Linked DNA regions of Cricetulus griseus. The protein of the gene in region 5 interacts with the protein of the main gene of each other region in a pairwise test. Links are inferred from orthologs where the notes say so. Each region holds a gene or a part of one and is shown on either strand. Other genes may lie near its edges.

The links.
Region 1: the proteins of Sh3glb1 (region 5) and Coq8a interact in binary tests that used the Homo sapiens proteins (3 or more experiments, as listed by UniProt). The link is inferred for Cricetulus griseus from reciprocal best matches to the Homo sapiens genes SH3GLB1 and COQ8A.
Region 2: the proteins of Sh3glb1 (region 5) and Arfip2 interact in binary tests that used the Homo sapiens proteins (3 or more experiments, as listed by UniProt). The link is inferred for Cricetulus griseus from reciprocal best matches to the Homo sapiens genes SH3GLB1 and ARFIP2.
Region 3: the proteins of Sh3glb1 (region 5) and Tpd52l2 interact in binary tests that used the Homo sapiens proteins (3 or more experiments, as listed by UniProt). The two-hybrid records come from large-scale screens. The link is inferred for Cricetulus griseus from reciprocal best matches to the Homo sapiens genes SH3GLB1 and TPD52L2.
Region 4: the proteins of Sh3glb1 (region 5) and Syp interact in binary tests that used the Homo sapiens proteins (3 or more experiments, as listed by UniProt). The link is inferred for Cricetulus griseus from reciprocal best matches to the Homo sapiens genes SH3GLB1 and SYP.
Region 6: the proteins of Sh3glb1 (region 5) and Htatip2 interact in binary tests that used the Homo sapiens proteins (3 or more experiments, as listed by UniProt). The link is inferred for Cricetulus griseus from reciprocal best matches to the Homo sapiens genes SH3GLB1 and HTATIP2.
Region 7: the proteins of Sh3glb1 (region 5) and Ric8a interact in binary tests that used the Homo sapiens proteins (3 or more experiments, as listed by UniProt). The link is inferred for Cricetulus griseus from reciprocal best matches to the Homo sapiens genes SH3GLB1 and RIC8A.

What each region holds. Positions count from the first base shown.
Region 1 is NC_048598.1:14,081,239-14,085,400, reverse strand, and holds the end of Coq8a (atypical kinase COQ8A, mitochondrial), read right to left. Parts: intron 4,059-4,162; coding exon 3,918-4,058; intron 3,554-3,917; coding exon 3,472-3,553; intron 3,369-3,471; coding exon 3,275-3,368; intron 3,082-3,274; coding exon 2,940-3,081; intron 2,763-2,939; coding exon 2,655-2,762; intron 2,521-2,654; coding exon 2,455-2,520; intron 2,277-2,454; coding exon 2,190-2,276; intron 1,448-2,189; coding exon 1,160-1,447; 3' UTR 608-1,159; downstream 1-607. UniProt on the Homo sapiens protein: Atypical kinase involved in the biosynthesis of coenzyme Q, also named ubiquinone, an essential lipid-soluble electron transporter for aerobic cellular respiration.
Region 2 is NC_048596.1:94,063,210-94,067,468, forward strand, and holds the start of Arfip2 (arfaptin-2), read left to right. Parts: upstream 1-1,390; 5' UTR 1,391-1,540; exon of another isoform or gene 1,541-1,645; intron 1,646-2,320; 5' UTR 2,321-2,362; coding exon 2,363-2,461; intron 2,462-2,680; coding exon 2,681-2,777; intron 2,778-3,440; coding exon 3,441-3,559; intron 3,560-3,731; coding exon 3,732-3,953; intron 3,954-4,259. Other genes in the region: Timm10b (mitochondrial import inner membrane translocase subunit Tim10 B), read right to left, coding at 631-807, 971-1,066, 1,214-1,243. UniProt on the Homo sapiens protein: Plays a role in constitutive metalloproteinase (MMP) secretion from the trans Golgi network. May have important functions during vesicle biogenesis at certain cargo subdomains, which could be predominantly utilized by secreted MMPs, such as MMP7 and MMP2.
Region 3 is NC_048599.1:395,722-399,346, reverse strand, and holds part of Tpd52l2 (tumor protein D54), read left to right. Parts: intron 1-1,424; coding exon 1,425-1,570; intron 1,571-3,625.
Region 4 is NC_048604.1:114,106,535-114,110,813, forward strand, and holds the start of Syp (synaptophysin), read left to right. Parts: upstream 1-1,381; coding exon 1,382-1,391; intron 1,392-1,447; coding exon 1,448-1,596; intron 1,597-2,525; coding exon 2,526-2,774; intron 2,775-3,797; coding exon 3,798-3,922; intron 3,923-4,279.
Region 5 is NW_023276806.1:14,444,377-14,448,001, forward strand, and holds part of Sh3glb1 (endophilin-B1), read left to right. Parts: coding exon 1-22; intron 23-470; coding exon 471-571; intron 572-3,625. UniProt on the Homo sapiens protein: May be required for normal outer mitochondrial membrane dynamics. Required for coatomer-mediated retrograde transport in certain cells. May recruit other proteins to membranes with high curvature. May promote membrane fusion.
Region 6 is NC_048596.1:146,801,838-146,805,462, reverse strand, and holds part of Htatip2 (oxidoreductase HTATIP2), read right to left. Parts: intron 3,476-3,625; coding exon 3,368-3,475; intron 1-3,367. UniProt on the Homo sapiens protein: Represses translation by preventing reactivation of elongation factor eEF1A. May also inhibit nuclear import by competing with nuclear import substrates for binding to a subset of nuclear transport receptors.
Region 7 is NC_048596.1:60,341,301-60,345,454, reverse strand, and holds the start of Ric8a (synembryn-A), read left to right. Parts: upstream 1-1,247; 5' UTR 1,248-1,300; coding exon 1,301-1,384; intron 1,385-1,680; coding exon 1,681-1,728; intron 1,729-1,816; coding exon 1,817-2,407; intron 2,408-2,708; coding exon 2,709-2,800; intron 2,801-3,261; coding exon 3,262-3,412; intron 3,413-4,154. Other genes in the region: Bet1l (BET1-like protein), read right to left, coding at 1-236.

The DNA.
Region 1 (4,162 bases), on a different chromosome or scaffold from region 5:
ACCCTGGGCCTCAAAGGTGGCATCTGTGCAGAGTAGGACTTGGCAAACTTTCCATGGTCTGTGACACATGGACAAGAGCACCAGGTACCAGTAAAACTTCTTAAAAGGCATAGTGAGCTGTTTGGTGCAGGGTGGTAGTTAGCCAGGCCCCTAGTCAGATTTAGCATGACCTTTAAGAGCACACTGTTCCTGTCCAAGCCCTAATGCCACCTCTAGTGCCTGCTGTTCTGTAGCCACAATCTACAAGCTTGTTTTCTCTAAAATGGCTAAGAAGCCTGGTGGCTCAGACTTGTGGTCCTAATTACTTGGCAGGCTGAGCAGGAGGGTTACAAGTTTAAGGCCTGCCTGAATATCTTGTTGAAATCCTGTCTCAAAAGTAAAAGGGCTTCACATCTGCAAGACATCAGGCTCAATCCCCAGTGCCAGTGAAGCCTTAAGGTCAGAGACACAAATGCAAAGAAATTCTTAATGTCTGCCTGAGTTGTCACATTCTGTCCCCACCAAGAGCAATGTAAATTCTAGATGAGAGACCTTTACAGGTAAAGACCACCACCCAAGTCATACGTGAGGCCACCTCATTCCCAGGACTCACAGAACACATAGGAAGTGGTAGTCCCCAACACACTTCTTTATTGAACGTATGGGTGTGAACATCTGATGATAAGACAGACAGAGCCTGTGTTGATCCCCGGTGCGGGGTAGTAACTACCTCTCCTGGAACATGCTGGAGCCCGCTGCTCCTCCAGTGACAGCCCTGCTTTGCTCTCAAAAAGGATCAGTTGTCCATGCTGAGACCCAGCTAGGGTGGCTGCCCTACTGTCCTGAGCTTCTAGCTCCAGGCCACCGGCTGGGGTGGCAATGGGCAAGGACACACGCTCATCCAGAAACACACAAAGCTTCATTCTACATGGCCAACTAGACCCCAAAGGTAGCTAGGCCGGCTTTAGTCTTCTTTGCTCCGTGTTCCTGGTGGACATCCACAGCAGGGAGGAGATGGCACAAGAAGCCTGCCTTTTTGTCTAGACAGTACAGAAGCAATAGTGGGGTCTCTGCACTGCTCACTTCCTACTCATGGAGGTGCTTCCGCTCAACACCCTCCCTCTGCTTGGCTGAGCCTGAGGGAAGGCATGGCCCCTCATTAGCCTGGCCCATGCCTAGTCTACTGCAGCCCGGACTTCATCCTGCAGTAGTTACTGTAGGCTTCCTCAAACATGGTCTTGCAGGGGAAGCGGGCCTTCAGCTTGGAGCAGATGAGGAAAGAGCCGCCCATCTTACGGTGTAGGGAGTAGGTCTCCTCTGGTGGAGGGATGAGGCGGTGCTTCAGCATGACGGGGATCAGGTTATGGATCTTCTCAGTGGTGCTCTGGGTGCCAAAGTCAAAAGGCTCTTCTGAAGCAAAGGCTTCCCCCAGGATGAGGATGGCATCCAGATGGGCATCCTCCATGGCCTACATTGAGACGAAGGGCAGAGGTGAGCGGGTCACAAGGCTGCAGCCCCAGATCCCACCACAGTTTCTAATCTTAGAAACAACTGCTCAGGTCTGGAGGGCATGAAAGAAGCAGTGACAGGATGGTTTTGGTTTTAATCAAACAATGGTATTAGGTACAACTCCAACCCTCAAAAGCCAGGCAGACACAGTGCAGAGGCCTTCGCTCCCTCAGCATTCACTCCTGTCTTTACAAAGTTAAACTACAGATCCCACTCTTGTGAGGAGTGCTGTGGGAGCCTCCCCAGTTCCCAGCACACAGCAGTAGTCACCTGCCAGATACAAGAGAAGTAACTGTCACCAGCAGAGCACTGGAGGGACAAGGGGCACCCACGGGGGGACAAATGAAGCCAGCTGCACGCAGGAGGCAGGAGGTCAGCTTGGTGTGCACACCCATGCTAGCAGCCAGTGTGAACCCAGGTCAGCTCCCTGCTAGGTGCTAGGTGAAGAGGCTCTAAAGGCCTGGGGTACTCTGCCCACCCAAGCAAGCCACCCCCTGCCTCCTTGCCACCAGGATGGGCAGGTGGCACCAAGTGGTATACCCTAAGCCAAACCGTCTGCTCCACTCTACACCCTTCCTACAGAGTGCTGAGTTTTCACTATGCTGGGCATAAGGAGGGCTCCAAGAGCAGCTGGTACTTAGGTACCAAGGGAAGACAGCCATGCCTACAGAGAGAGAGCTGAGCCTGGGTGGTTCACTTACCTTGACCTCATAGCCAGTGAGGAATTTCATCTCTATGGACTTCTTCAGCACTGCCTCCCTGTCCTGGTCAGCAGCAGCCCGGATGACCTGGAGAGAACAGAGAGGCTCCTGCCCTATCACAACCCTCTTGTATGCCTGCCAACCCTTGAACTGGGATCCACAGCCAGCTAGGTGGACCTGACAGGCTTTGGCCAGCTCCAGGAGGCTCTCCCACACTTTCAATCCCCAGAATTGGCTCTTGGCCTCTGAAATACACTGGTCTTACCTGGATGTAGAGGTCAGTGAAGGATCTGTCATATTCCCGAGTTGCCCCAAAGTCCAGGAGAGCCACCTGCAGATGGAGATACAACACTGAGGTTCTGCCCTATGCTTCTTGTGAGCATAGAGCAGCCAGGAGGACCACCGCAGAGTCTCAGCTCGAAAGTCTCTGCTGAGACCTTCATATGGGGTTCAGCTGGGGCTTACCTTGTGCTGCTGAGGGTCATAAAAAAAATTGGACCAGTTGGGGTCAGTCTGCATGACATGGAACTCAAACAGCTCCCTTAGGCACAGCACCAAAATGTTGTAGCAGATCTGAGGACAGGGTAGGAACCTGGGTCAGGCAGCTTGTGACCTCCAAAGTCTTTGCCCATCCCAAAAGAAGGATGCAGTCAGTCATCACCCCCTTGTCCCACCTCCCCAGGAAGGGCTTAGGGTCTGTTCACACCATTTAGGTACCCAGCACAACAGCTCAGCACAGCTTGAGGGTACCTCATTCCGGACTTCCTGGCTCAACCCTTCTGCCTGGTCCAGGGGGAAGCCTGTTATTAGCTCGGTGGTCAGCACATGGGGACTGCATAGCTCATCCACAATCTCAGGCACATAGAAGAAGGGGTGATCCTTCAGAAGCTCCCTGTGTGAAGAGGGGGCTCACATCCAGTCTGGACCCTCCACAGCCCCCCAAATGGAGAGTCCTCTGGGGGAAACCTACTCTGCAGTTGGGAGGATGTGGCTACCACCTGGCCCAGGGCCATCCAGCCTTAGAAACAGAGGAGCCTGCCCACTCTGGTGCCCCTCAGCCTCCTGAGGACCCCTAAGAGCCACACCTGAACTTCTTGGCATAGGCAGCTTCCCGTTGGTAGTCACACTCAAGGACAAGCTCCCTCCTCAGCACATCAATCAGGTGCTCAGGGAACAGGCCTATGCCAGAAAGGGGCATCAGGTGGGATGAGGGCTCTGCAGGGCTTTCCCCTGCATTCCCATAACCCCACCCGTCCATCTCGGGCCTGCAGCCCAGCCTGACCTTCTGGAAGCATGTTACTCATGTTCAGCACAGCCATGAGGTTGTTGACATCGCTGTTAATGCTCTGGGCCACACCAGGGTACTGAGAAGAGGGAAGGGGGGTAACTAGGGAGGCAGCAGGGCAGGCTGTCCTGCCTATTAGCGTCCCAGCAACTTGTAGCCAAGACTAAAACAAGGGTGCCATGACCTGACCATCTCACCACCCTGCTCTCCATGTCTCCTTACTCTAACCACACAAAAAAAGCCCCAGGTTCCAGCATAGGCCCCAAAGGCCATCCTACACCAAGACTGCTGGGAAACAGCCCCAACCCCCAACCCCTCACCTAGCAAACACTTGCCCAGCGCCAGGTGCTAAGAACAGAAAGATGGTATCTCAGGAGAAATGGGAAAGGCCCCACCCTCTGAAATCCCATGAGGGCAGGCACACACCACACAGGGCCATCTACCTGGATCTTCATGGCCACTTCACGGCCACCCTTCATGCGGGCCAGGTGCACCTGCCCTATGGAGGCAGCTGCAAAGGGCCGCTCCTCAAAGTACTCTAGCTTGTCCCTCCAGTGGGGGCCCAGGTCATTGTTGAGGGTTTTCTGGAAAGAGGCCAGGGAAGACAGGTGCACAGCCTGGTTATCTGGGGTACCCTGATATGCACCCAGCTTGCCGCCACATCTTGGTCCTTAGATCCCAGGGTCAA
Region 2 (4,259 bases), on a different chromosome or scaffold from region 5:
TCACAAAGACAGGAAATATTTAAGATGGTAAACTGGGGAAATGATTGAAATTCTAGACAATATTCCCACATTCTTACAGGCTTATCTTTGATCTCCTAAGAATTGGTGGCTAAAGCCTATTGTGGTGCTGTTTTCTTCTTCCTCTTGTTGTCTGATATCACATTCTTCCCCTAGATGCAGCACAATTCTTTTTGTATTACAGCTCAGAAGAAAACTAGTTATTATGCAATATATATTCAGGCATTTGAGTTAGGCTCAAGGATAGCCACTGAGAGCTCCCCTTTTGGAACCAATTTCCCATTGCTATTACTAACCTTAAAACTATGTTTTTGCTGGGGATCTGAGAATGCTGAGTTTGTCCTACTACATTACAGAAGGCAATTTCTCAACTGCCAGGGCTGAGGGGAGAAGATAGGCACTAAATGGCAGAATAAAGGTTGGTACCAATAAGTGGACATAAATAAATTCCTGCCCAGAAAATCAACCAGAGTAAAAACCCGGTTTATTGGCTCCAAGAAAAGGAGCAATAGTGCCCAGCTTTCAGGCTCAATCTTTCTGTACAAATTTCGACAAGCCCAAGGTTCATAGAGGAGCCCATCCAAGCACCTTCTCTCCTGGGGCAGGCGATGGCTAGCTGCCTGATGGCGAGTCTCTGGGTTGTTCTGCAGTAACACCTGGCACGGCCGAGGCAGCCTCGTAGTCCGCGATGCGGCGCTGGACAAGGGCGGGCATGAGGTGGACGTAAGCGGCCATGAGGCGGTGGTTAGAATGGATGAGCTTCCCAGCACAGCTGTGTAGACAGGCCTCCTGGAAGGAAGACAGAGGTAAGCAGAGACCAAAAGGGGTCCTGTCAAGCCCTCCTCTCCGGGGCCCCAGCCTAGGGGTGAGGTCATGGGAGACCGAGATGCAAACGGGGGGTGGGAGGTGGACACGTCACGTTGTCAACCTCTGGGGTCCCCACAGTCCCCACCTCCTCAGCGTCCAGAGCTCGGTGGTGCAGGCTGGGCACACAGCGCTGGAAGCACAGTTCTGTCATCCGATTGTAGACCAACAGGAAATCTCGCAACTAAGAGAAAAGCGGATCAAGGCTTCACCACCGCTGAGGGTTCCTGGCGTGCGCAGTGCAGCCTGCCTTCCCCACTGGGGGTTCTTGCATGTACCCCAGAAAACAAACCGCACGTCTAACCCCGAGAACAACTTAGCTCTTACTCACGTTTCTTAGTTGCTGCTGCTGCTGCTCCATCACGCTCGGGGCACGCAGCCCACTTTACTTCCTCCCTGGGGGCGCGGAGTCACCCCGGAAGTAAATTCTCCCTAGTCACCAAGAGCTTCAAGGCGTGGTTCCAGTATCGCCCAGCCCATGTCTGCTAACGTCACCTCCGCCCTTTTGCTCTGCGACGTGGCCGGCTTCTTCTGCCCAGAGGGCACGTCACTTCCGCCGAATCTCTGACCTGCTGCTAAGATCGCGACGGGAACTGGAACCCGAGGTCCCCGCGCGGTCCGGCCCTCGCGCCCTGAGGGGAAGAGTGGCCCGGCCCAGGTGAGAAGGACATACTTGTACGAAAGGAAGTTGAATGCACGAACCTGTGCGGAGGGCAAGATGCCCTGAGCCCTTGGCAAGGATGAGGACACACCTGATGCCCAGGTGTGTGGGGGGGTGGTGGAGGGGACCTCTCACATCTGGAAGGCATAAACTGACTTTGGAAGGGACTGCCTGTGTCCTGGGAAAGAAGCTTTTAACTGACACCGGGAACACACCAGCTGCTTCAACTAAGGCCTGGTGGGGAGGGCCTGAGGGAGGCAGGTGCATGAGATGGAGAAAGGAGAGACCATTTGAAGGAAGAGGGGAAGGAACATCAAAGGATTTGAAAGACCAGGGATTGCAGAGCATGCTTGAGTGGCAAGTGAGCATCCGAGTCTAGGAAAGGGTTTTGCCTTCTGGTAAACATGCCTATGCAGGGCCAAGTTCCCAAAGAGCACAGACATTCCCCTCTGGCCCTCACTGCTGTAATCCCATTGCCTCAGTATCTGACGCATAGTAGGCACTCACTAAGTGTTTGTTGAGTGACTGAATGTGTAAAGGTTACTAAAGGTGAGGTTGGGGTTTGTGAGAAGACACCCAAGGCTTTGGTATACATGCATCTGTAGAAATAATGTACTTGGAAGAGAAGAAATACACATCTCCAGGAAAGTAGGGGCTGATCTCCAGGGACACCCAAGTCCTAACAGACAACCCCTGAAACCTATTAGAACACAGGGAAGGCCTCCTTGTTCTGGAGTGCTGGCCAGTTTCCAGAATTGTCTGTGTTGGGCTTTACAGCGTGCTGGGGTGGAGACCTTGACTCCAGTACCTTCCCTAGCCATGACGGACGGGATCCTAGGGAAGGCAGCCACAATGGAGATCCCAATCCATGGAAATGGTGAAGCTGGGCAGCTTCCTGAAGACGATGGGCTGGAGCAGGTGCTTCTGTTTGATTCTTCTAATTGTTTCAATTTAGCAATCCTGACTCTTGAATGTTTCGCTTTTCCCATCCCAATAGACTTCATTTAGTTAGTCCTCCTTATAGTTTTCAAGTCGTCATTATGATTCTATACAGACTTTACTATATACTGTCTCTATCCCCAAAATATTTCAGCCACCCCCATGTTCCTGAAGTGCCCCCTCTTCTCTGATCTATAGGACCTCCAGCAGGTGATGGTGTCAGGACCCAACCTCAATGAAACTAGCATTGTGTCTGGTGGCTATGGGGGCTCTGGTGATGGACTCATCCCCACAGGTATGAATGATAAGAGACAGGAGGCTTGAGTGGGAGGGAGACTAGGAGGCACATAGAACACATAGGAAAGCGTGAATCATGGATTGGAGAAACTTGAGAACTGCTAGTGTGAAATCCATAGACTGTCCAATCCCAGATCAGCTCTCTGAGCTCATCATCTGCTTCCCACTTGCCATTTAGATTCTAGCTTTCTCAATTGTCTTTTCTTTCCCTGGTGCCACCACCTGAGCCAAGTTAAGACCTATAAGTCACAAGAGCTCTGCAGCTTAAGGCTGATTTACAACTTTGTGAAGCTTCTCAGAGTTTTATAAGAGTCTTATACTGACTAAAATTCTACTTGGAAATACAAACCAGCTTCCCTGTTTTCTGTGCCCACCAGCTTTGACCCTTCCAGTCCCACTCATCATGTTTGCTTCTGTTTCTTCCTTCCCTGTCCACCCAACAACACTCCTACACGACCCCAGGAATGCCAAATACATACATTGAGTTGCTTTGGTTTTCGGGACCTAAGTCCCCGTTCCCCCTAATGAGCAGAAGAATTCAGTTATCTAGATTTCCTCTTTTAGAGAGGTCATTTCATGTGCTGGGAGGGAAGGAAGTGAGGTCACAGAAGTATCTGATTGTATGTGAGAGAAATTGGTGTTAGAGAACTTGATCCTTTAGGGTCTGGCCGCCATCCATCTCACAGCACCTCACCTTCTGGCCCTGGTGATGAGGTGGCCCGGGGCATCGCCGGAGAGAAGTTTGACATCGTCAAGAAATGGGGCATCAACACATATAAGGTAAGAGTCGAGTGCCTCTTCCCAGAAACTCTCCATGGGTACCTTTTCCTTTTCCCCAGATCTTAATACATAGTCTTTTGCTATGACTAAGAGAATGGGGGTGTTGGAGTAGTTACTTGTCGGGGTTGGGGTGGAGTTTAGATTTCTGACCTCCCACCCACTTCCCAATCAGTGCACAAAGCAGCTGTTATCAGAGAGATTTGGCCGAGGCTCCCGGACTGTGGATCTGGAGCTAGAGCTGCAGATTGAGTTGCTGCGTGAGACGAAGCGCAAGTATGAAAGTGTCCTTCAGCTGGGCCGGGCACTGACAGCCCACCTCTACAGCCTGTTGCAGACCCAGCATGCACTAGGGGATGCCTTTGCTGACCTCAGCCAGAAGTCCCCAGAGCTTCAGGTGCCTCAGCCAAAACAAAGAGGGTGGGGGTACTGGGCCCTGGCCCTTCCAGGCAGGCATTCCTCAGCCTCCCTCCCTCCCTCCTGCAGCCCCCAGGGAGAACCCCTCTGGGGTGTGCCCAGTCCTGCCCCCAGCATCACTCACCTATGGAGGCAGCCTAAGGGTTTGTACAGAGGTCCAAAAGTTGGAGGGGTTGTGGGAGAGGGCGCTCTGGTGCCTCACAAGTAACCCTTCTCCATATCATCAAGAATGCCTTTGGTGCTTGGCCTAATCAGAGTCCCTCCCCTGCCTGCTGCACTAGCTTTC
Region 3 (3,625 bases), on a different chromosome or scaffold from region 5:
GCATGTGCCACCAACACCCGGCACAAATAAGTAAATCTTTTATTTTAGTTTTTCTTTTTTTATTTTATGTTTGTGTTTTGTCTGCATGTATGTCTGTGTACCTTGTGTGCTTGGTGCCAGTGGAGGTCAGAAGAGGACATTGGACTCCTGGGAACTGAAGTGACAGGTGGTTGTGAGCTACTGTGTGGGTGCTGGTAATTGAATTAAGGTCTTCTGGAAGAGCAGCAAGAGCTCTTAGCTACTGAACAATCTCTCCTGCCCCATAAATAAATAAATTTCAATCAAGAAAATGCCCTACAGACTTGCATGAAAGAAGCAAAAGTCAAAGTCAGATTCTTTAAAAAAAAAAAAAAATACAGTTAGGTGTGGTGTCACACTCCTTTAAACCCAGCACTAGGGCGGCAGAGGCAGATCTCTGAGACCAATCTGGTCTACCGAGTTCCAGGATAGCCAGGGCTACACACTAAAACTTGAAAAAAAAAAAAAGTCTGTAAAAAAATGTTGTCACCTACTGTTGAGCAGAACATCTTGTTTTCTAGTGTTTTCAATGTGTATTTAGAAGATTTTAGAATTTGTGCAGTTGACAAACTTATATGTGATTAAGATGTTTTTCTTTCTGTTCTATGCTTTTAACCAAGCTGGTGTTGAACTCACAGATGTCTGCCTGCCTCTGCCTCCTGAGTGCTGGTATTAAAGATGTGAACCACCATGCCTGGTAAGAATGGTTTGCTTTATGTGGTATCTTTTGAGATAATCGTGCAGATAGGAGGATGTGCCTAATGTCAAGAAAAAATGGTGACTCCAGGAACTTGAAGTGTGTCTAGTATGCTAGGTGTGTGAAAGAATGCACTCCTTCCTCTCTTTGTATATATGGCCATCTGTCTGTGAGAGGATCAGGGATGGGATTAAAGGTGATTTTTGTTTTGCTGATTCATTACTGGGGCTGGATGACTAACATGTATTCCATGTATGTAATCTTTAGCATTCCTTGAGTTGAATGGAAAGTAACACTTGCTATATTTACTTCCTTCATGCAAAAAACAAAACAAAACAAAACAAAAAAAAAAACCCAAAAAACCCAAAATAGAAACTTTATTAGATTGGATTGGTTTCTTTGAAGTAGGGCTTCCTGCTGTAGAAGATAATATTTTCACAAGGGAAACCAGAACCTGTGGTTTGGCTGCCTTCACTGGTGTTTCTTGTACTCTAGCAGCACAGGTGGTATTGAGTTTGCATCTCAGGTGCTCAAGAAGTAGCTGTTCTCCGTCCAATGCCCAGCTCATTATCATAGGCTTTTAGAGATATTTCTAATTTCTAGTGTTCTCCTGCCTTCTTTTGGCCACCAATTTCTTTCATTCTTGCTTCTTCCCTAGTAGAGTAACAACTTACTTGACACTTTTTGACTTCATTTTTGTCTCTGACAGATATCAACCTGAATTCTCCTAACAAAGGTGTGCTGTCTGATTTCATGACTGATGTCCCTGTTGGCCCAGGTGTGGCCTCCCGAGCTCAAGCTGTAGAGGGCCTGACAGAGGTGGAGGAAGAAGAGCTACGGGCTGAGCTTGCTAAGGTGCCTTGGTTTTATTTCCTATTCTGGTGTGATGATGAGACCCTTTGGGTTATGCAGAGAGTAGAACATGGCTTAACCCTGTGACAGAGCTGTTGCTGGGGTGTTACCTGCATTCTGTGTCTACTGGGCTATCTCTTTTCATGTGCCTATTTGTAAAGTGTAGACTTGAATCACCTGTTGAAGGCAGGGCCTGATCTCATCTCACCACTCTGTCTGGAAATACTAGGTGCCCCATGAAGAGGATGTCTGCACAATAATGTGTGCTTTAGTTTGTTTTAGGTTGGCCTCTAATTCATAGTTCTCCTGCCTCTTCCAAGTGCTAGGATCACAGGCAAGTGGCACCATGTTTACTTTTTTTTTCCTTCCTTCCTTCCTTCCTTCCTTCCTTCCTTCCTTCCTTCCTTCCTTCTTTCCTTCCTTCCTTCCTTCTTCCCAAGACAAAGTTTTCTGTTTAACAGCTCTGGCTGTACTGGAACTTACTCCCTAGGTTGGCCTCAAATTCAGAGATCTGACAGCCTCTGTCTCCTGAGCACTGGGATTAAAGGTGTGCTCAACCACCATCCACTCTTTTTTGTTTTGTTTTTTGTTTTTTAGAGACAGGGTTTCTCTGTGGCTTTGGAGGCTTTCCTGGAACTAGCTCTTGTAGACCAGGCTGGTCTCGAATTCACAGAGATCCGCCTGCCTCTACCTCTGGAGTGCTGGGATTAAAAGCATGAGCCACCACTGCCCAGTGCTCTTTTTTTTTTATCTTTATGATTAGGGATTTCACCCCATATAGGGTCAAGCAATTGTCTCCTGGGACTGTAGTACTGTACCACTTGGCCTGACTGAGAAGAAATTATTTTTCAGTGTAGCTATTTTACTATGACTAAAACTATTGGGGAAATATTCCATAGTGGGAACCCTTCAAAATTATCAAGAATCTTTGTTAGCCAGGCAGGAGTAGCACATTCCTTTAATCCCAGCATTTGGGATCTCTTCTCTGATCTCTGTGAGTTTGAGGTGAGCCTGGTCTACAAATTGAGTTACACAGAGAACCTCTGTCTCAAAAAATGTCCCCCCAGTCTTTTAGTTTGCCATAAGAACAAAGGACAAGTGGGCGGTAGTGTTACATGCCTTTAATCCCTGCACTCAGGAGGTAGAGGCAGGTGGATCTCTGAGTTCGAGGCCAGCCTGGTCTACAGATTGAGTTCTGAAGGTCAGGGGTACACAAAGCAACCTGTCTCCAAATTTGGTGGGGGGGTGAGAGAAGAGGGGCGTGGAGAATGAATGAGAATGAATATTACTCTTCTGTTGAGTAACTAGCTCTCACCAAGGCTTGGAGTTGACCTCTGGAACAACAGTTGCCATTAGAAAGCTTCTCTGTCCCCTAAGTCTCTGTCCCTCTGTCAATTCTGCTTCCTTTTTTTTTACTGTACAGGGGATTCCTCAGTGGGTCCTCACTTCTAGCAGATTCAGTTGCTATATCTAAGCCAGGCCCAGAACCCATTGGAAAAGAGACTTGTGTCCTAAAACTCATGTCCAGTCTTATGGAGAGCTCACTTCCCTTAAGCTCCTGAGGCTTAAGGGAAATGGGAAAAGTGGGTTTACAGTCCTAGAGAACTACTGACTAGAATGGTGGTAGAGTTTTCCAGAAGCTGGGGTGCTGATGCCAGATAAAAGCAGAACAGCTGCCATTGTGGGTACTATTTTTAAGATAGTGTTTCTGTAAGTGAAAACCTCTAAGAAAGTCTCATTATGGGCTGGAGAGATAGCTCAGTGGTTAAGAGCGCTCACTGCTATTCCAGAGGATCTGAGTTCAATTCCCAGCACCCACATGGCAGCTCACAGCTGTCTGTAACTCCAGGTCCAACAGATCTGGCATCCTCACACAGATATATATGCAGGCAAAACATCAACACACATAAAATAAAAATAAGTTATTTAAAAGAAAAAAGTCTCATTACAACCTATGTAAAGATGTTTGCTGGTCACTTCTTGTAGTAGTCATAGCCTCTCACGTCAACTGTATTTTTAATTTTTATTTTTTTATGCTGGGGTTCTAACTCAGGGCCC
Region 4 (4,279 bases), on a different chromosome or scaffold from region 5:
AATGTAGGGGCCAGGCATGGTGGTGCACACCTTTAATTCCAGCACTGAATAGTGCTGGGATTTGCAGAGGCAGGCAGATCTCTGTGAGTTCCAGGACAGGCTCCAAAGCTACACAGAGAAACCCTGTCTCGAAAAACAAAAACAAAACAAAACAAAAGTATAAAAGCTAGAGCTAGCCTAGCTGTGGTGGTACACGTCTTTAATCCTAGTACTTGGGAGGCTCAGGCAGGAGGATCTCTGAATTCAAGGCCATCCTGGTCTACAGATTGATGACCAGGACTGTTACACAGAGAAACTCTGTCTGGAAAAAACAAAACAAACAACAACAACAAAAAAAAAAAGAGTCAGGGATAGCATAATGGTACATGCCTATAATTCCAGAATCTGGGAAGCAGAGGAAATAGGATAAAGGAATTTAAAGTCATCCTCAGCTGCTCATGAAGTTCAAGGCCAACCTGGGCTATATGAACTATCTCAAAATTAAATAACTGACATTCATTCAAAAGTTTTGGAATTCAAGCATACAGAGGGTATAAAGTGGTGTTCTTTCCCGCTGCTGACAGTTATCCATTATCTTTTATTACCTGTGTAAGATGATGCACTCATAGGTTAGCACTTAGTATCTTAGTGCTTTTTATATGCATTTCTTAATGTGGGGTTGACCATCTTAACCTCAACTATATTTTATCCCTTGGATTTTGTAATATGGCAATCATCACCGACCTTGATGGACCTAGTTTTAGTATCATGAAAGAGGGTAGTCCATTAAGACATGGAGGACCCACATAGTGAAAAGACAGAACCTACTCTGGCAAGTTGTCCTTTCATCTCCACACCTATACTATAGTGCCCCCTTCCTTCCCTCCCTCCATCCCTTTCTCCATACTAAATAAATGTAGTTTTAAAAAAAAAGAAGGCTAACACAAAATCGATAAATGTATTGAAAGAGGGGGCCAAGGAATAAACAGAAGGTGAAATACAGAGTTAGATTAGGCAATAATTTGACCAAGAAGAAGAGAAAAATTGAGGTGGCTAGAGTTTGGGGATGTGCCTTAAAAAGCAAATTTTCCAAAAGGAATCCTTCAACTGTCTTTTAAACTGTGGAGACGTTTAAACTGCAGAGACTCTGAGCACTGCCGATTACTAGTTGTGTGACCTTGTGCAAGTCACTTAATCTCCCTGGGGACTCATTTTCCTCATCTGTAAAAACAGGACTAATAGTCACTGCTATATAGGGATTAAATGAGGGAACACACGTAACCAACACAGCACCCGGCTTGGCAAAGTATCGTAGAAATGAGAGGTCCTCCATCCCCAGACGGCTACCTTCTGAAAGGACCCTGCACTCTTAAGATTTACAGACTCCAGACTTAAGGGTGGAATGGCCGCAGGCAAGCTTGGGGAGGGGGTGCCGTGGTGCGCAGGCGCTCACACGAAAAAGATACAGGATGCGAGGGGCGGGGCTGCCGCCGACTGGGCTGTTCCAACGATCGCGCGCCGCCCCCGCCGCGCCCCGCGCCCGCCCTTGCTAGCAGGCACCTTCCGCCCCCTGCATTGCTGATGCTGCTGCTGGCAGACATGGACGTGGTGAATCAGGTACGCGCTCCAGCACCGTGGACAGAGCCCGGCGCTTGCGGGAAATCCGGGTGGCTTTAGCCCTACAACCCTGAAAGGTGGTGACCAGAGTAGTCGAGATATGGTCACTGGGGCTGGGGTTGGGGATTTTGCTGCAGGCTAGGGGAGGGGGGAAGGTGGAGAAAAGGAATGCGCTCTTTGCCGCATCGAGGACTGTCCTCACTGCCGCAGAGGGGGCCGCCAGAGCCCACAAGAACTGTTGACCTGGCGGAGAGAAAGACCGGAGCTTGGGTCTAGGAAGAGGGCAAAGGGGCAGGGGAAGGGAGAATGAAAAGAAGACTTGGGCGGTGGGGGGGGGGCTGCAGATGAGCTAGGAAATAGAGCGACAGAAGGTGTGGGGGCGGGGTGGGGGAGGGATGGCACCCGCCCCTCCCAGAGATTTCACCCCGGTAGATGACCACCCTTTCCTCGGGAGCAGATCTAGAGGGACGATCCAATTTTGCCTCTCCAAAGCCCCCAGCCTTCTCATTCCCAGCGCATATCCAATGAATCCATGCCCCAGCTCTCTCCCACCTTAATCATTCCGGACCATCTCCGCCATCGCCCTCTTCTTCATCACCTCAGAATCTGTCTCCTCCCTAACCAGTAGCGACCCCTCCCCACCCGCATCTCCTTAGACACAACCACCATCATCTGACTCACCTTTACCGCTGCAGACCTCTTCCCTATGATGTTGTGACTCACCCTCATCTCTCAATGCCCCCTCCCCCACTCTAATGAACCCCATCTTCTTCCACTCAACCTTTTTCCCTATCTGAGTCACCTTTAAGCAGTTCAGACCTCCCTTCTCTAACTAGTCTGGACCCCATCTATTTTCTATACCCAGCCTCCTCTGTCATGTGACTCATCACCTCACACTTCACCACTCCTGAACCCTGGGGGTTTCTCTGAGACCCTGGTGTTTACTCCTTTCCCCAAAGTATCATTTTCTCCTCCTCACTCCCTCTCCACATGTCGCCCACTCCCAGGAGTCACATGCCCTATCCCCAGGGATCATTGCCTGGCAGCCTGACCCCTCACCTCCATCTCTATTCCCCACAACCCTTCCCCCTCCCTGCTGTTTTTCTCCTCAGCTGGTGGCTGGGGGTCAGTTCCGGGTGGTCAAGGAGCCCCTTGGCTTCGTGAAGGTGCTGCAGTGGGTGAGTGTGGTCTGGGGTGTGGGGTGTGGGGTGGGGAAATGAAAGTAGAGGGGGTGACAATGGGGTCCAGAAGAGCACGGATGTAGGAGGGACAGGAAGCCAGAAAAGGACTACAGTGGAAGGAGATGAGGGAATTAGGCTGCAGAGTAAGGTCCCAGGGGTTTAAGGACAGGGAACAGATAGGCTATGACGTCACATAAGACCGAGGGTACCCCTGTTGTGGAGTGACAGATTGTGACGTCCTACCTCTTCTCTTGAAGTAAAGGATGGGGGGGTGGGAAGTGGAGCCTGAAGCGACTGCTGAGAGAGAAAGAGGGAGAGAGACAGAGACAGAGAGGGAGGGGGAGATGCAAAGCAGAAAAATGCAGACAGTGAAGGAAACAGAGAATGAGAGGCAGGGAATGGTAGAGACAGTGATGGAAATGCTGAGAAACGAGAGCCAGAGAACTGGGTGTGAAGCAGGAAAATGTGGTAGGGGACAGAAAGACATACACAGATAAAGAGACACCCAAAAGAAAAAAACAGAAAGCAACGCACAGAAATAGGCACAAGGGAGACAGAGAACCATAGAGCCCTTGTGAGAGGCAGAACAGACAAGCAGACCAAGAAACAAGAGTGCAGAGGCATATACTCAGAGAGTTTAAAAAAAAAAGATGATGGAGGGACATGCATAGAAACAGAGAGATACTGAGAGAGGGAGGTGCAAAAGACAGAGATACAGTGAGTGACAGAAGAGGAGGAAAGGGAGAGGAGAGGAGTGAAAAAGAAGGGGGAGAGAAGAGGGAGAGGGGAGGAGAAGCCATAACACCTAGAGGTAAAAACAGAGACACGGGGAAAGAGAAACAGCCACACCCCTGTAATCAGCTTGTGCTAGGACCCGGTGAGCCCTGATTAGGGGAGTGGGGGTGGGAACCTCTCCATCTGCTGCTGTCTCTGCTGCCCCCCTCAATCTGTCCAGAGGAGGGCACTCCCTCCCACATGCATACAGGCTCACTACAGCCATCCACCTTCCTGCTACCCAAGGTCTTTGCCATCTTCGCCTTTGCTACATGTGGCAGCTACAACGGAGAGCTTCGGCTGAGCGTCGAGTGTGCCAACAAGACGGAGAGTGCCCTCAACATCGAAGTTGAATTTGAGTACCCCTTCAGGTGTGCCTCTGCCCTGGTATCCTGAGGTCTGGGATGAGGCAGGGGCAGGGTGAGGGTGGGTCTGAGCAATCCTTTCCATGACCTTTGCAGAGCTCACACCTTTGAGGCCACAGCCACTGGGATCAATGCCCGTGCACTGAACACCTGCTGTGTAACTGGCACTGCTCTAGATCTCTATGACAATGTGGTGTGCAAGACAGACACAGGGTGTCACCCTCTCTAGCTATATTTTGGCAAAAGAGAGGAATAGACGAAAGGAAATAAATAAGATTCATACGCAAATGACAGAGCTGGGGCTGTAGCACAGTTGTAGGGGGCTTGTACAGCATTGGCAAGGTCCTGGGTTACAGAGAGACA
Region 5 (3,625 bases):
GGAGGGAATCAGCAGTACCCACGTGAGTATTAAATCATCCTCAAGAAAAGACGCTGAGACAGCACTTAGGCAGCTAGGGAGGAATTTGTGAAGTTAAAGGCACCCTGAGCTGCATACAGACACTGCCTTTAAAGAGAGCTCCTTGGGTCAGTTGTCAGTCAAGGAAAGTTTCAAGTGTGAGATTTTAGAAGGGATCTGAAGAAATACTTAAATTTTCTCTTACATTTCATCACTCCTTTTTTTTCCCATTTCATAAATCCACATGTTGGCTCTTCTTGATAAACAAAGTTTGTCAGTTTATTATTCACCAGTAATTAGTTTTGATGAGCCTGATCAGAATATGAGCATTAATAAGCTTTACAGTAGGATACTACAGGTTACCTCCTTCACAGCAGTGTTATCCTGTGTTCTGCCTTAGCTTGCGCCACTTGAAGAACTTCTGAGAACTGACTGCAACTTTTCCATTCCAGGCCCATCATCTCCGCTGTCTGAATGACTTTGTAGAAGCCCAGATGACTTACTATGCACAGTGTTACCAGTACATGTTAGACCTCCAAAAACAACTGGGAAGGTAGCAATTTCCTTTTCCTAAATGAAAGTCATGATGGGGAGAGTGGAGACTGGAAAGGAGCCTCTGTGGGGAAGCACTAGGCACACAAGCACGAGGACCTAGTAGATCCCAGCACTGTGACAACAAGATGCTGGAAAGAAACAAGAGAAGCCATGCTTCCTGGGCCAGGAACACCAGGGAGGGCATTGGAGAAGAGAAATGAAGAAAAACAAAGCAGACACACACATGAAAATGATGGGGTAAAGCTCATGACTTTGCACAGTAACAAAAAAAGACACAATTTTTTAATAAGTTCAGATTTTTCATGTGAGGCTGGTGGCCTGGCCCACTGAGTAAAGGTTCCTGCTGCCAGGCCTAATGGCCTGAGTTCAAGTCCCAGGACCCACATGATGGACGGAGCTAGCATCTGAAAAGTGTCCTCTGACCTCAAGGTGCCCGCCATCACATACACACGTGCACACACCACAGAAAAATAAAGATATTTAATTAAAAACTGAAAGATTTTTATACATGAGCCAGTAGCGAGAGTGAGAATTGAAAGAGTTAAGGACTTGTTAGCTTGTACACAATTCCTTTTTTTAATTATCAGACTTCAGAGGTTACATTTTTAGCTTTCCTAGCACAAATCTGTTACCAGAGATGAGAAGGTAATTAGGAGAATTGTTTTTAGTGCCATATAAAGAAAATGATAGGTACATTTGAGGCTTAACTTTTCTTTTACTATTGAATATGTTTTGCTTTTGGCTGAAGAAGAAAGAAACAGCTACGTTAATGCTTTGTTACCTTAAAGGTAAGCTGATTCATTAATTTGTTAATTTTGGAATAGTCTGAAGACCTCAAGTCCCTTACATAATTATTTCGAGTACAGTAATGTACTTTAAAGCAAAATAGTATATAAAGTCTGTACTTGAGTCATTTAATTATCAAATATTCATATAATACCTGCCATAGTCCCCAAATATGTTCTTGAGTTACATCAGCAAACAAAACAAGCTAGGATACTTGCCTTGATGGAGCTCTCATTGTAAGGTAATGTTGGAAATAGTATGAATTCTGAGTACTAGCCATGGGTAGACAAGCCATGTGACACATAGATGGAGCAGGGTGTTGTGAGGACACCAGTTACGGCCCAGCTACAAGTTTCCCAGGTGGAGTTATTTTAGTGGAAGTCATCTAGAGGAAGCCCAAGGCAAAGGTGGATGTTATAAACCAGGAGACCAAGGAAAGGGAAGCAGCAAGTTGGTTAATTGACAGTACTTCATTCTAGTGAGAGCATACTTTTTAGTGGAGAAAGGAGTTGTATGCAAGACTGGAGGAGTTAACGGAGTTGCACCATGAATGGCCTTAAAAGTAAACCATAAAAAGAAGTTTGGCATTTAAAAAGAGTCACTACAGTGTTTATTCTGCAAATTTATCCTTCAGATTTAGGCCTACACCAAAGTTAGGTAACATCACAAAGCTAATTTTAGATCTTCAAAATAAACTGTAGCCTATTATTTTTAGATCTGGTAGCCTGCCTAGTTTGCATTGTGCATTCTTAGTGTTTTGTTAGTGGTGTGCATATCCAAGGACAGAACAGTGTAAGCCTTGGCACTGTGTGGTGACACTCTGGAAGGCCAGCACATGAGTCGTGCTTGTTAGCCATTCATATTTCATTCTCTTAAAGCCACGAAGTCCTTGGCACTTGGCCATTCAAACAAAGTTTTATCGCTGGTACTCTAGGTGAAGCACCATACAAAGTAAAACCTGCGCTGTTCTGGTGAAGGCTGCCCACTCTGCCTCTCTGCCAAGAATTGTATGACTGCTAAGGACCAGTGACAGGAGTGGGAGAAATGTTAATAACCCTTTCGTTTATTTCAAGACAGGTTCGATGTCATGCTATATGTCTGAAATCCCAGCACTCAGAGGCTCAGGCAGTAGGCTAAACTGGTCTACATAGTAAAACACTTTATCTTACGTGCAGACCTTAACAATAATAAATAACAAAGCATCCATGTCACACTAACCAACCCAAAAGCTATTTCTGGAGAGTAGAGCCATGTTGTAATAGGATTGTTGTCAGTAGTAGCTGGATAACATGTGTTACTTCTGAAGGACTTAAGCTATACTCAGATCTTTTCCATACCCCTTATACGTGTTATTCATAGACTTTATAGTCCTCACCACTACACACGATGGACACTGTGAGTGCTCAGTGCTCACAGAAGGAAACAGGTGTCCGCACAAAGTCAGTCATCTTTTAATTGACTACAGTGATTGGTGTTGCTTCAAATGTTGAAGTTCTTAGAAAGGTGGGCATCACCTTGCAGAGCTTCCTTTTGATGAGGGTGTGTCAGGGCATTGTGCCGAGGTGGTGACTTAGAGGAGGGCAGAGTCTTCATCTTGTCACAGAGTGTTAAATCTGTGAGACAGCTGGTTGAACAGTGGGTGGAGCTTATTTGTTACATGAGAGACTGAAAGGAATTTGTGACAGCAAGTTGAGGTCGATTTCCAAGTAGTTCTTGTGTTAAGAACAGAACGGCAGCAGCCAGAGGAGAGAGGAAGATCTGCAGTTTGTTTAAATTTAGAAACAACAGTGGGTTTGTGGGCCATGCGATGATAAAGATGCTGGGCGAAGGGAAGAATGACTAGGGAAATCTCCAAGTCTCAATTGAGCGAACCTGAAAAGGGATTACCCTCAAATACAGGCAGCGTCGATAGTAAGAGAGTGAGGGCCACTCTCCTCATTGTTAGTCCTCTTCATCAGTCTGTCAGCCGGGTGCAGAACTGACATTTTGAAGGTAAATGACAGGATATAAAATAATCACCAAGAGACCAGAAATGAATTGCCTAGACCTAATATATAACTGCCAGGCAGCATTGTGGCCCACCTAAGGGGTTCTACTCATAAATGTAAGACAACACAGGTTTTTCTTTTTCTCCTGGCACACTGGATACATTAGTACTGACACTATGGGTGAGTTCCGGGACAGGCTTCAACACAGAAAAGAGAGTTGCTTAGAGAAGCCTGGGGCTGAGGAACATAGGATCCCTACCCTGTCCCCCTCTAGATTT
Region 6 (3,625 bases), on a different chromosome or scaffold from region 5:
GTGAAGACCTGTTAACACCTACACTAACCCACAACTAATCACCGAACTGAACTGGAACCCAGATGCAGAGAAGGACGAGTGAAGAGCACAGGGGTCCAGACCAGGCTGGTGAAACCCACAGAAACAGTTGACCTGAACATCCGGGAACTCTTGCTCCCCAGACTAAAAGCTGGAATACCAGCATGGGACTGATCCAGACCCCAGGAAAATGGGTTTCTGTGAGGAAACCTAAGAAATCTACGGAACCTCCTGTAGTTCAGTACTTATCCCTAGCATAGGTGTGGACTTTTGGAGCCCATTCCACATAGAGGAATACTCCCTGAGCCAAGACACATGGGGGTGGGCCTAGGCCCTATCCCAAAGGATACAATAGACACTGATGACCCCCCATGGAAGGCCTCACCATCCTGTGGGAGCAGAAAGGATATGTGATAGATAGGGTTTTAGTTTGTGGGGGGCGGTAGGGGAGGACAGGTGGGAGAAGAGAACTGGGATTGTCATGTAAAACAATCCTGTTTCTAATTCAAATAAAAAAAGTTGGAAAAAAAATAGAGAAATAGATGAAAGATTAAAAAAAAAAAACCTACACTGATCTGCTATTGCACAAAAGTAGCCATACAAAATATGAAATGTAATGAACCTGTGTATGTTCTAACCAAACCTTATTTATGAATACTAAAAGTTGAACTTACTGCATTTTCAAGTGGCATAAAATTTTCAGCCATTTAAAGACATCTGTTGGTCATAGGCCATACAAAACTTGATGCCAAGTGGCATTCAGCTCCCAGGCTGGATTATCAGAGTGTATTACAGCAACCAGAAGCCACGAGGCCCTACAGATGTCTAGTAAACATTGCAACAGCTGCATTAGTCACTTTAACAGCATCAAGCATTTGACAGTATCCGCAAACCTGGGCTGCTAGAGTTCACTGCAAACTAGAGCTACAGGAAGGGGTGAAACTACGCACTCAGTACCCAAAGCCTTCTTATACTGCACACAAGGGAACTGCATTTGCCCAGCAGTGTCTTTGACTTTTGTTCTTCAAGGTATATTTGGTTTCCAAGGGTGTCTCAGCCTTCTCTTGGCCCATGTGCAAGCTAAAGCAAGATTATTAGAACTTACAGTGCTTGGAAAACACACTTCTGGAGGCAGCATCAGCTCACTTCCTGCACATCCTCGTGGTCCTTTGACTACTAACTCATTTCTCAGACTATTTACCTGGCTGCTCTTTGCCCTTTTGTGTTCATTAACACCTTTATCTTTTCAAACTGATTTTAAAGACAAACAAAAGGGTAGTTTAAGAGGTAGGAGCTACTCAGATTAAAAAACTATTTTCCTCTGGTTAGAACTACAGCTTCAATGCGACATTTAGCATTTCCCCAACACACTATTTTGTCTTGTTCTATGCTTAATGCAGCAGTTCACTTTGCTGAGTCATCGCCAAAGTCAGACTTGTGCCTGAAGCTGAAAGCTGCAGTGTGCGGGACACAAAGGCTCTTCATTGCTTTTGGAGGACACACTTCTTACACCGACCTAGGGCAGAAAGGACGGCACTAGCTGAGCAGGAAAGGACCCCTTCTAGAGGAAGAAATTCAATTCCTGGGAAAGCAGAACTTTTCTGCAATCCAGTTCCCAGCCCTGAGCTCCCAGGGTGGAAGTGCAAAACTGCACAGGACACAAACATCCGTCTCAACTGAAACCACTTCTAGAATTACCTTTTGTAGCAACAAGAAGCCCAGAGAGACACAACCAAGCCACTACTCTGCTCATAGAAACCGCAGTTCAGAACCACATCAATCTACTGATTTATAAATACTGCTATAAGTGGGGCTGGTGAGGTGGCTCGGAGCAGATACTGCATTTTCAGAGGACCTGAGTTCAATTCCACATACCACGAGGCTCACAACTGCCTCTAACTCCAGTTCCAGATAGATCCATACCCCTGGCCTTCATAGGTACCTGTAAAGCACACAACACACACACACACACACAAAATAAATAAATAAAAATAAAATCTTAAAGACAAAAAAAAAGCTAGTGTAAATCACTATAAAGGTTAATTTTGTCAACTCGACCAAACATGGAAGCAAACCTATATTTAGTTAACTGGGGTGGGAAGACACAATCTACGTGTGGGTAGCACCATCCTGTCAACTGGGGTCCGAAACTGAATGAAAGATGAAGATGAACCGGGCTCTTGAATCATCTTTCTGTTTCCTGACTGAGGCCATAAGAGGACCAGCTGCCTGGGGTTCCTACCACCGGGCCCTCCCCTCCTAGATGGACTGACCCCTCACACTGTGAGCCAAAATAAACCTCTCCTGCCTCAGGTTGCTTTTGTCAAGTATTTTGTCACAGTGATGAAAAAGTGGCTAGCACAATCATTATGGCAGAATCAATCCCCTCCATGTTTAATAGATATGTGGACTCCAGCAAGCAAATCCTGTCAGAGAAATAAACAATACTCAAGATCTAAACTGAATAAGATGTAAAAATGTTTGCCCAGGATCTGTATTATATACCTTGACTTTTAACTATGCAGTAAACTATAGCTCCTGGATAGGGGCTGACTCAATTTAGCACACCATTAAAGAGAAAATAAAATGTGTATTAAAGCAGTTTTGCGTCAGTGAGGGCTGAGTCATCCCTGGGCTGAATCACTGCTGACGGCTAAGTCATCACGGGGGCTGACTGAATCGTGCCTCTGGGTTCTGATGATCTAGTTCCCAAGTTTAAAGGATGGCTTGCAAGCAGGTTGAAGCAAATGATTGAGAGAAAATGCTTCAAGCCTAAAACATTCATTATGGAAAGAAACATAAAGCTTACCACCCACATATGAGCCAACTACTTTTGCCCAGAGACTGTGGGCTGCTATCCTTACTCAGGGGATGTGGTGATGGTTGTAGTATCTCCATAGGCAGGGTCATGCAAATATCTGTGATGTAACTGGCATTCAGGACTGAACTCAGAGGTTATTCCAAAGACAACTTTATCTGCAATGCCCCATGTATAATATAGATGGAATCTTAAACACATTCTACGTTTAAGCACTGCAGTATGACCCAAGAAAAAGCAAGAAAGGAATCCTCCAGGCTGCAAAGATGGCTCAGCAGTTAGGACCTCAAAGTCAGTTCCCGGTACCCATGCCAGGTAGCTCACCAACACCTGTAATTCAGATGCCCTTTTCTGGAGTCTGCAGGCACCTGAAGTCTCTTATGGCCATAACACTCAAACACACACACACACACACACACACACAAACAAGCAAACATGTAAGAGAAATAAAATAAATCTTTGAAAGAAAGGAAGGAAGAGATCCTTGATAGCACTGGCCAGTGAGAAGAGACAAGGGCATTTCTTGCTCACCGCTCCAGCTTTCCTCCTGGTGGTGCCCAGGCAACAGAATCCAACATCATGACCTTGAAAGGCAGAAGCGTAGTCATCCAGCTTCTCAAAGTCCACCACTTCTTGATTCTAGACAAAGGAGGGCACAGTGGCATGTAATTCCATACATATAAGAAAGAGACAAAACACCCTTCAAGATGTACAGAATAAATGACAAATGATTATGGAAGGGTCTAAATTCATAACATGAAATACACCAAATCCCTTTTTCCACAAAAC
Region 7 (4,154 bases), on a different chromosome or scaffold from region 5:
TCCAGAGCCCCACTCTGGGACACCGCAGCACAGCGACGGACGTGGCACCGGCTCCTGGAAGAGGCTTCCGGTTCCGCCTCAGGTATAATAACTTCCGGGAGAAGGGACTGGAGCGGAAGAAACAAAAATGAAGTTGTTCCATGGAATGTAAATAAGGGAAGGGCGGGCCGCCTGCGTTCGTGCCCGCGGATTGGCCAGCAATAGTAGTCCCGAGATGTGGGTGGTACCCGGAGCATGAGCTCGGGCACAAACCGGGAGCTGAGGCTGGAAACCGGCTCGGTAAAGCTGCCGGATGCCTCGGGCGCTGCGGAAGCCCGAGTGTGAGAACTACAAGATGCGGAGGACGGACAGAACTGAAGGAGACTGGCGAAGGAGACGCCAGGGCCTGACACCGAGCAGGCGCAGGGCACGCGCCGGTTAGCTCAGCGGGTGGCAGATCATCCGCTGGAGCATGGCTTGTGTGTCACCGCGAGGTACACTCTCACCGACCATGCCTCCAGCCACGCGGAGTGCGGACCCGGCTCCCCAGCCACCCACCCTCTACCCAGCGTTGGAACGCCTCTCACACTGACGGGCCGCGGCTGGCCGCCCCTCCATTGCCCCTCCCATGGGAGTGGCTTTCTCCGGGTGGTTTTCGCTTCCCTCTGACCCTTCCTCATACACTGGGACTTTCTTTTTCCTTTGATGGCCACATTGTTTTTGATGGTTCGGTCTTTCGTTTGTTTTAAGGACGGTCTCACTATGTATCCCTGTCTGGCCTAGAACTCACAGATCTGCCTGCTTCTGCTTCTCGGGTGCTGGGATAAAGGCGTGCGCCACCTCGCCGAGCTATCCGCTTTATTTTGACCACCCGAGTCGTTGTGTTTGTCTTTCCCGCGGAGCATGAGCTTCAGGGTCTGGACCGTGGGGCTCCAGCTGACTAAGCGACCAGAAGATAGTGCTCCCTTCATCTCTCTCCCTGTTCCCTGACCGGTGCGTAAGGAGGGCGGTCCATGCGGGGGCCGAGACCCCACCTCCACGCCCCACGCCTGCTAGAGAGGAGGGAGAAAAGGGGGGCGAGGGGATGCTACTTGGCTAGCTAGCGCCGCTGTTCCAAGACGAGCCGCTCGGCGATCGCGGCCAGGTGGGCTCCACCTTAAACCGGAGGCCCGCCCCACGCCTGTGCACACCCTTTCTGCTCGGCTGTGCTCCCGGCATCCCTCACGCGTGGACTCGGGGCTTCCGGACCTGGGCGGAGCCCGCGGGTTTGGCCGATTGCGTCTTCCCAGCCCAAGCCTTCCAGCACCCGGTGCCAGGGGCCATGGAGCCCCGGGCAGTTGCGGATGCTTTGGAGACGGGAGAGGAAGACACAGTGACAGAAGCTCTGCAGTCGTTCAACCGGGAGGTGAGAGGCACCCGGCTGCTGAGGAAATTTCTTGGAGAGAGGAAGCAGTGGTGTGCGCGCAGCGCGGCCGGGGTGTGCGTGCGAGTGTGGCAGGGAGCACGGCCTTGGGAGGCGGGCTGGGCCTCGGGGGTTTCAGTGGTGGGGCAGGTGTAGGGGAAGCGAGGGTGGTGGGCCCTGCCTTGCGTTCAGAGCAATGGCTGCTGCCTCAGAGGTAAAAGCAGACCGGCTGCCCTGACTCGAGGAGCACAGGTCCTACCTGCGCGTGGACTTGAGCCTACTGGGTCTCCTCCCTGCAGCACTCCCAGAGCTTCACCTTCGATGATGCCCAACAGGAGGACAGGAAGGTAGGTGCCATCCCAAGGGGCTCCTAGGGCAGGCATGGGCTGCCCCAAGAAGAGGGACTGGTGGATCCACTTTTGTCCCTCCCCACAGAGACTCGCAAAGCTGCTGGTCTCCTTACTGGAGCAGGGCTTGTCACCGTCACACCGTGTCACCTGGCTGCAGACTATCCGAATCCTAACCCGAGACCGCAGCTGCCTGGACTCATTTGCCAGCCGCCAGAGCCTCCATGCACTAGCCTGCTATGCTGACATCACCATCTCAGAGGAGCCCATCCCACAGCCCCCAGACATGGATGTCTTACTCGAGTCTCTCAAATGCCTGTGCAATCTCGTGCTCAGCAGCCCCGCAGCGCAGATGCTAGCAGCAGAGGCTCGCCTGGTGGTGAGGCTAGTGGAGCGTGTGGGACTGTACCGCAAAAGGAGCTATCCCCACGAAGTCCAGTTCTTTGACCTGAGGCTCCTTTTCCTGCTAACTGCCCTTCGCACTGATGTGCGCCAGCAACTGTTTCAGGAGCTGCACGGTGTGCGCCTGCTGACTGAGGCGCTGGAACTGACGCTGGGGGTGGGCCCCAAAGAAAAACCCCCGGTGGTACTTCCGGCCCAAGAGACAGAGCGGGCCATGGAGATCCTCAAAGTGCTCTTTAACATCACCTTTGACTCTGTCAAGAGGGAGGTGGATGAGGTAAGTTGTAGCCTGAAGTCATGGGTGGGACTCAGCTCAGCTGGGACAGTTTTGTGGTTTTGCTTCCTTCCTGCCTCAACTTCCTGGGTGCCAGACATGGCAAGGATAATGGGACATCAAGGCAGGGAATCCAAGGAAGGTTTCTGAGCTGTGTTGTGGGGGTGTGTTTGTGGGAAGGCTTTAGGTGGCCAAAGGTCACCAACTGTGCTGTGGACAAAGCCAAGTGATCAGCTCCATGTGGCCCTGGAGCACTGGAACAGGGGACTCCTCCTTACAGGAGCCATTTTCTGTCTTTGGTTAGGAAGATGCTGCCCTTTACCGGTACCTGGGGACCCTTCTGCGGCACTGTGTGATGGTTGCTGCTGCTGGAGACCGCACAGAGGAGTTCCACGGGTAAGGGGCAGGACTTACCGTGTGTTGACAGTGGGGAGAGTACTTAGGCATGGGTACCCTAGTCCTCAGCCCTAGGTGTCAGTAGAAGCACCAGGTCCCACCGTAAGAGTATGACTGTCAGAGGGATGGGAAACCAGAGTGTTCCCAGAGAGCCCCAGGAACTCAGAATATGACTAGGGGAAGAGCTAAGGTGGAAACAATGGTGGCCCTGGCATTGTAAGGCAATGGTGTTCCTGCTGGTGGTGACCAATAAGTACCTCACCTGACTTGGTATCTCAGCTCAGACAGAATGGGACAGGCAGAAGTTTGTCTCCCCACCAAACTTGAATGGAGTACTACCTGCCCTTGCCTCTAGTCCTCGGTGCTGTCCTCAGTCCCCCATATCATGTATACCCCAGGAGAGGAGCCGGGGATTACTTCTGTGCTAGAGTTACTCTGTCAAGGCCTCTGTCTGTCCCCAGCCACACGGTGAATCTCCTGGGAAACTTGCCCCTCAAATGTTTGGATGTCCTTCTCGCCCTGGAGCTACACGAAGGATCCTTAGAGTTTATGGGAGTCAATATGGAAGTGATCAGTGCCCTTCTTGCCTTCCTAGAGAAGCGTCTGCACCAGGTAGGTGGAGGACCTGCTATGTTGTGGCTTCCATTTCTGCACCAGGGAGAGAGGTCAGCTTGAAGGTATAACTTGGACAGTTTCTCTGGTTGCTCTGTGGCCCCACCAGAGATAGCTATTCAGTCAGACCCTCTCCGAAGCTTGTGGATACAGCTTGTGTGTGGACCTCAATGCTGCTGATTCCCAAAGAAAAGCAGGCTTCTCAGGGTCTGCCAAGGTGAATGTTGTCTTTTAGGTCTCTGCAGTTCCCTGTTAAGTGATTCTCAGAAGCCTTTGGTTCCTGCTTCCCTAATGTTCCCATACATTGGCAGCCATAGGTGACAGCATTAGTTGTCCTGCATCTTTTGTTTTTTGTTTTTTATTTTTTATTTTGGTTTTTCAAGACAGGTTTTCTCTGTGTAGCCCTGGCTGTCGTGGAACTCACTCTGCAGATCAGGCTGACCTCAAACTCAGAGATCAGCCTGTCTCTGCCTCCCAAGTACTAGGATTAAAGGAATGACCCCAACCCCCACCTCCACCCCCACCCCCGTTGTCCCTCTGCATCTTAAGGAGACATAACCAAGGGTTACCTGACACCTACAGTTATAATATGGGACCAGAGAGCTGGTGATCTAGCCTATCCTGTGGAGCTCACACAGATGAAAGCCATAGATAGAGGTTCATTAGATCTCCGAGGAGCCATAGGGTGCTCAGCACCTATGAGCTGGGTGAGGACAAAGAAGCTAGTGTTGAATATGCTAGC